Linked DNA regions of Drosophila melanogaster. The protein of the gene in region 2 purifies or fractionates together with the protein of the main gene of each other region. This does not show direct contact. Each region holds a gene or a part of one and is shown on either strand. Other genes may lie near its edges.

Region 1 (3,831 bases), 5.7 Mb from region 2:
AGTGAGGCCAAATGGGGGAGGGCTCAGCAGCAGGACGCTCTTACCACACAGCAGCAGGTCAGAACAATCAGGAATCCACACACGGCGCCAGCCGTTCCAACAACCCATGTTAACCGAATGAACAATATGACACCAAAGATGTTTTGAATGCATGGCAAGAACACTCCAATTAGGGTACCTTATGAGACATTGAAACGAGCGTTAGAGATTGATGCTTGGGGTCATCAGTTTAATGAAACCATTTAGGCAGGTGCCCGAAAGTATGCACTCAATCGCGGGAGCGATTCCCTTCGATTGTGCCACACTACTGCACACTGTTGCATACTTTCGAACAGCTCTATAATATTCGCCCGCACAGTGAAGGCTGAAACACTTTGAGGGGATTACAGCAATCATTCCTCCACAGCTTTGTTGTTTGCTGCGATTCCATTGTGCACATGCCTTTCAATATGGGGGTAGATGGAACAAGCAAGTTAATTAATGCGCGGCGAACATACCCATTCGAGCCGATGGAGCTGCCGGCTTTGCATCGGGATCGGTGGCCGCTGGTATCGTGTTCTCATAATTGGCAATTGATGAAATGAACGTTGATATATGGGGCCTGGTCTCCAAATCATCGTCGTACAGATATAGATTTGGGTCGATGCTGGACTTCTGGTTCTCCTCCGCCCTGTGGATATCACCTGAGTCTGTGGATGCACAGGATTGAATAGAGTTCGGATATCTTACGTTATGTAATTAAGCTACTAAGCACTAGTAGTGAACACTATATATGTACATATATACTATATAATTGATATTATCCCCTGCATACCTTCATTTTTGGTTTCGTGAACTGTACCATTGTGTTCGGATGGTATTATTTCCATTTCATCCGAATCATCTTTTGCACTGTTACTTTGCATGTTAACGTTGGTTGTTTGGTTTCAAACCCTTGCTTTAGATTGCACTATGTTCACTTAAAATTAGGTAACACTAGAGGAGAACGTGGTCAAGAACTAAGAACTAAGTGGGCATGGTCCTTCTTCAGACGGAGCTCCACGCATTGGGATTATATAACCCAAAAGGCGTGGCCGCTGCGGTGTATATATTCACATGTCTGCGGACGTGTGCCTATATACTCGAGATTTGGGTTTGGTTTCGGAAGGGAGCTCCTAATCGGGAAATGCCCCAAGAACTCGGAGGTGGAGGTATGATGGGAGGTGGATCAAAAATTGCGTCCGGCAGGCAGGGCGGGCGGGGATGCTGCTGCGAAAGTTGAGCCAGCTCGGACAGAAAAAAAAAAAATATGTAACCGATTAATTTAGGTCAAGGATTTTCAGGCCGTCGTCGTGGGGCGGTAAATAAATGCCGTAAAGTCGTCCTTTTCGCCGTAAAGCGGCTCTCGAGCTGGCTAAATGCACCGAAAGTGCGGAATGCAGCTGAAAATGGTTACGAAATGAGGCCTTTCTATGGGAATGCGGGGTAATCCTCCTCGACACCGAGTGCCCGGATCTGGGGTCTCCGGGAGGGAATTTGGACACACTTTCTGGTTGAACGCACTTGTATTCATGTATTTGATTATTGTTAGAATTTCGTCGATTGTTTAAAGTATGTTATTTGTTAAAGGTGCTCAAAAAGAACTGGTTTCTCATGTTTTCCCGTTTTTCGTATTTTTTTTTAGGTTTTTTGTATTATGCGAAAGAAGACTCCTTCTAAAGTTATTTTAGGCGAGCGAAAACGCTCAGATGTATGCTACTTTTCGTTCGGATTAATAGAAAAACTAAGAAAACTGTTGGTATTCGGCCGAATAAAAATTATGTTGCCCAGGACCCTGAGCGTTCAATTGAGATGAAATCGAAAGCTTTTGTCTACACACATTTTTAATACACACACACTCTCGCAGGAGAGCGAAATCGAGAGCGATGCTGAGCTGAGCTAAGCTGAGCTGTGCTGGGAGAATGGAGAGCGCCTCGTTGCAGGTGTACATTTCCATTCGGTGGCCCACAGCTCAGTGGGGCCACTGAGCCCACTGCCTTGGCCAGGACCTGCCCGCCAGCCAGCCAGCCACTCTCACCCAGCATCCGACGTTCGCTGGAAGGGATTGCGAGAAAGCTGCGCCGCCCTCAATCTCTCACTCTCTCTCTCTCTCTCTTTCTCTCTCTCTATCTGGGAGCTTTCGTCAGGTACTACGAGCTTTGGCTTACAGCAGCCGCGAAATGTGTCACCAGGACATCCTGGATTCGGACTGGGGCAACTGGGGCAGCACAGGATAGGATTGCAGGGCCGTAAGCTCTATCTGGGCATACAGTAGTCACTCGATGGGAGGGGAAATGCGTGTGCCTGGGGGTGAGCAGGCGAAATGTGCTGATGGGACGAAACTCAGCAAGGACCAGATGAAATTGCACACAATCTCTTCAGTGTTAATGGTTCTTGTGTATGTATACATCTTATCTAAGTATGTATAAGTATATATTAAGAAACGAGCTCTTATAGTTAATAGTAAAACTAAAGTAATAATAGTGGCACAAATAAAAATGAAAACATCCTTACCATCGTACGACCCATAGTTCTCACCTAGGGTTTCGTCGTGGATGTCCCCCAGTAGCTTGCCGCTCGCAGACTCATCCTGGTTGTAGTCCAACGCGGTGTCCTCGTCAGCCTTTGTAACTTGAAATCTATCTGGCATATTTGTGGATGTAAGGCACTCTGAAATGGGAATGACATTAGTATCGTCGTTGCTAACATGGAGACCCTGCCGAGGGCACGGCTAGGAATTAGCGATCAAAAGCATTCCCGACGATCGCTAGTCCAGTGCGGCTGGTTCCGAATTCACATAAGCTCCCAAGATAAGGATAACATTTCTGTTCCGAATTGCAAAGCCCACCAAATAACTAAGACGGTTAGTCCGCCCCCATCATTACTGCCGCACCTCAACTGGTGTGATAACCCGTGATCGAAGGTATCTAGTGAGTCGCACTATTTGCATGAGATTAGTAGTCCGCTATCACATGACCATCGAACTTGGTGGGTGTCTGGCCGAAATGGGCCACTGCACCTGCGATGTATGCTCCACTTTCGGGCAGAGATAAAGGCTGTTTCCGATCTGTGGCGCTAATCGCTCCGCACTCGCCGCGAGCTGTGAGCGGCGAGCTTAAGATAACGACCATTTAGTGCCATTTAGTATGCCTCAGCGGTGTTATGTCACCGGCTTGGTTACATAAGGCACGACTTGGGACACACAAGATGCGCTGCGATGTGCCAGACGTCGAGTGGGAACGGTTTTGGCGGTTTCCTGACCCTGCCACCGTGATTCCAGCCCCCACCCGCAGCGACGAATTGATAGGCGAGCATGTGTGTGGCGCTCTCAGCGAGATCGGGCTCATCCCGAACCCAGACGAGGCAGCTGGCCCAGGTGGAGGCCATTACACGCGCGCTGATAAGTGCACAAATCTGTTCCCATCGATTGGGCCGTCGCAGCCGCGTACACACAACAGGGGGCAGATAGATTAGTGCAGATACGGGGCTATGTACGTGGAACACAAAGAGGTGCATGCAGATACGTACATCCAAACACGCACATACGCACGCATGTACATATGTACATACGCAGAGGTGGTGGTGGTGGCGGAACAGGATGGACTGGACGGTGTTATCTAACCCGAGGATGTGCCCGCCCAGGCCAGCCACTGGACATCCGGACACTCGTGCGGGAATGCTTTTGGGGGACAGCGGATTCACTCGATTCGATTTACTTGGGCAAGCGCCTGGAATTCGCCTTCACCGACGATCCGATCCGATCCAATGTGATGCGATCCGATGCACTTGTGCTGGGCAGAGCCAACGGAAACG
Region 2 (3,600 bases):
ATGCTCGTGAGCGGTTTTCCCACTACGCTATCGTAATCGTAACCCTTTCCTGGCTCCTCACACTGCTCCACTCTTTAAGGCAAATTCTAGTTTCTTAATGTGGCGCAGCAAATGTGCCGCTTTGAGCATTAAAATCAACAGAGGCAGCCACAACTCGCACTCTAAAAAGCCTCCCACAGAATGTGCTCTTCCTCTCTCTTCGCTCTCCCTCTCTCTGAATTCAAGCATTACTCAAAAGGTGTTTTCGTCGCTCAGGTAAATTGAGTGAAAATCCATAGTGTAAATATACATGAGCTTCTACATGGCCATGTCAAATAATACGCACGTGTATTTTGAGTGGAAATAGAATAGATCGCTTCAGCTGAATGGGTTTTAATAATTGTGGGTGCAATCTGATTTCAATTGAAATTGCCCAATAAAGTGCTCCATTACATATGCATTATAGAAAAATACAGGCGTTACTCGCTTTAGTTAGTAAAATGTGTCGCAAATACCACATCTTTTTTGCTTTAGCTCCATTTATGGCTATTTCACTTGCCGGCGGGGAACCAAGAAAGGTAAGGCATCATCATGCTTTAAAGCATATATTTTTTTATTATAGTATTTAACATAATTTGGTCTTTATGATAGCTTATCTTATTTCCCCTTTCCACAGCTCATAGTATTTGATACCATAGAGTGTGCAATCAAGAGCAGTGTCATCTCAAAGGTTGTGTGTCAGCTGTATTCCCGGACGGAATTTACTGTCTTTTTGACCTTTGGCGAAAAGAAGCATGCTGACAAGGTGTTTGGAGCTTGCGAAGTCAAACTCTGTCCAAAGAGTCAGAAAAAGATAACGAGGATAAATAACCTAAGATTGGACTTTTGTCAACTGAAGAAGCATACCGAATCGCGCTCAGTGCTGGGAATGTTCTACTTAGCACTTCGCAGAGCTGTAGTCAACTTTCCCAACAAGTGTCCCTTCAAAAAGGTGTTTGTATTCTTTACAACTTTGGGACGTTTTTTAATTGATTTGATTTCTAGAACACCACATATGGGGTAAATCGATTCCATTTTGGCTGGCAAGATATTCCGCAATATCTACCCGATACTAACTACACTCTTGTGGGAAAGATTTATGCCAACAATGAGTTGGGACTCGAGATCAAGGTGACTGGCGGCTATTTTGAAGTTGCCAACGATTCTGCCTATAGGAAGCCCCTACTGTGAATGCGCATAAAACTTATGGTCATTAAAAAAGTAACTGTCTAAATAATATTAATATGGGAGTTAGCTTTGTACTTAAAACCTATAACTTAATCTATACAGTTAATTATTAATTTATTAAGTGTTGAAAAAAAAAAAACACCATTTTCGGGCATTCCTTGTAAATTTGTTTGTCAAGACCCACCCAAGGATTAGCTTAAGAATTAAAGTCGGATAAAATAATTCACCTGGTTTCGGGCTTAAAACTATTTCATTATTTCTTGGCAGAGAGAGAGAGAGAGTCCATGTAGATAGAGCGCAGCTTAAATTCAAAGAGCGCAGTGGCTTCCACTCAACTCAAACTCAAAACCGGCAAGATTCGAAAAGGATCCGTGCAAAAGCCACAAAAGAAAGAGAGAGAGAGAGCGACTTGTGAGAGCACGATCGAGTCGGCCGCGTGTCTTTAACTAAGACCGGCGAGAGCCGCTCGTCGGCCAGTCTGTCAGCGAATCTCGAAGCGAGCGGTACGCAGGCGCGCAGTCGCACATCCGTCAGCATAGCAAACGCCAGAAACCAACACCTTTAGTTCCGATTCAGATACAGTGCGACAATCTAAACACGCGTTCGCACCACCAACCATATCGCGGTGCAAAACGAGAAAAAGACGCGAGGCAAGGAGTGCAAACATATGTATGGACAGCGAAATAAATAAAGCGGAGGCATAAAAATTCCTCACATCGTTCGGTGCGCAGCGACGAAGATCGAATGCGGACAAAAAGGCTAAAATACAGCGAGGCCAAATAAAAGCGATTCGCAGCCAAGTCGAAGGTGCTCCGCCGAGTGGAGTGGCCAAGGTGCGAGACAAGAAATTAAATTGATAAAGCCTAAAAAGCGGAGCCTAGGACTTTGTCCTCTCCCTCGGCCAACAAACGTACAAACAAACAAACCAGCGCACACACACAAACTTGTCGCGTTGTTTGCTCGGCGCGGGCAATTATCGGGCGAATATCGGGAATCTGGGAATTCGAGTGCGAAGCAACCCCACCAAAGTGTTAAAGTGTGTGCCAGAGTGTGTGTGTGCGAGTGTGTGTTAGCGGTTAGCTGGTGTGGCAAATAGCTCAGAGCCACGAAATTGCTTTTATCGGCGCACCGAATCGCTCCGCCAACTGCTCAAGTCCAGAAATTAAAAACAAAAAGAGAAACTGTTCGGTTCGTTTGGCCGAAGGGCCAGCTAGCCATCTCGCAAAATATTAGCCCGCCGGGCTCACAACGCCAGCAAACAAACAAACAAACGGCCAGCACAAAAATGTATAATAAAAAATTACAGCAAGTGATCGTGCAGAAAATAGATCGATAAACCCAAACCCCAAACCCCCAAACTCAAAACGAACTCGAACCCGAAAAAAAATCTGACAAAAACAACACAAAAAAAAAAAAACGCGAAAAAGCGACGCGGTCCAGCGGAGAGTATAAAAATAAATAAACGAGCGACGATCAGCGAGCGATCAAGGAGCTAAAGCAGGAGGAGCACGTTTCTGGGTTTTTGTTTCAATTTCAATTGTGGAAATCGTAGAGGAAAAATTCGAACCGGTCTCCGCCGAGAGTCGCTAACCGAGGAGCGGAGGACGAAGCCAGCAACCGAGAACGAACCACCGATATTTATTAAACAAAGACAGAAATTAATTTCACGATTTTGTGAGGCACCACAGCAATACTGCAATCCAGTACCACCACCCCTTTCGCTTCCATCGCCGCCCTCCATGAGCGGCTTGAACTTTGAGCCTGAGGTCTGGGCTTCCACAGGGAACTAGGGATCGGGATCTTCGGCCCGCCGGCAAAATGTACGACATCAAGCGCCTGGAAGCGGGACAACAGAAACTACAGCAAGCACAGCAACCACTGGGCCTTGACCTGAGCGGCCAGCAACAGCAACTCACCTGCAGCGTGATCACAGCGCCCGAGCATCGGGCTAATCCCAATCCCAGCTCCATTTCGCAATCCAACCCCAGCGAGGCCACCCACATGACTTTGTTGACGCTGCGCCGGCGCCGTTCGCTGCAGCGACGCGCCTGCCTTCTGAGCATCCTCGCCGCCTTCGTCTTTGGCATGGCACTGGGCGTTGTTGTGCCCATGTTCGGCCTGCCCCGCCACCAGGACTCCCCGCCAGATCTGCCGGAGGAGCAGATACAGATGGTTGCCGTGGAGCCGCTGAGCAGCTACCGCGTGGAGTTCATCAAGGAGACGGACGAGCTGAGTGCCGAGCAGGTATTCCGCAATGCCTTCCATCTGGAGCAGGACAAGGATGCTCCGGACTCGATGGTGGTGAAGAAATTGGACACCAACGACGGCAGCATCAAGGAATTCCATGTGCAGCGCACCGCCAGCGGTCGTTATCGCAAGGGTCCGGAGAGGAGG

The links. The genes of interacting proteins can lie anywhere in the genome.
Region 1: the proteins of fj (region 2) and kcc purify together in Drosophila melanogaster (affinity purification with mass spectrometry, with the first as the bait; one large-scale study listed by BioGRID). This does not show direct contact.

Annotation. Positions count from the first base shown.
Region 1 is NT_033778.4:23,908,535-23,912,365, reverse strand, and holds the start of kcc (kazachoc), read right to left. Parts: upstream 1,757-3,831; 5' UTR 1,543-1,756; intron 976-1,542; 5' UTR 906-975; coding exon 815-905; intron 690-814; coding exon 498-689; intron 179-497; coding exon 45-178; intron 1-44.
Region 2 is NT_033778.4:18,231,086-18,234,685, forward strand, and holds the start of fj (four-jointed), read left to right. Parts: upstream 1-1,675; 5' UTR 1,676-3,024; coding exon 3,025-3,600. Other genes in the region: CG46388 (uncharacterized protein), read left to right, coding at 480-557, 656-970, 1,024-1,209. UniProt on the Drosophila melanogaster protein: Golgi serine/threonine protein kinase required for intermediate growth in the proximal-distal axis. Phosphorylates specific residues within extracellular cadherin domains of Fat (ft) and Dachsous (ds) as they transit through the Golgi.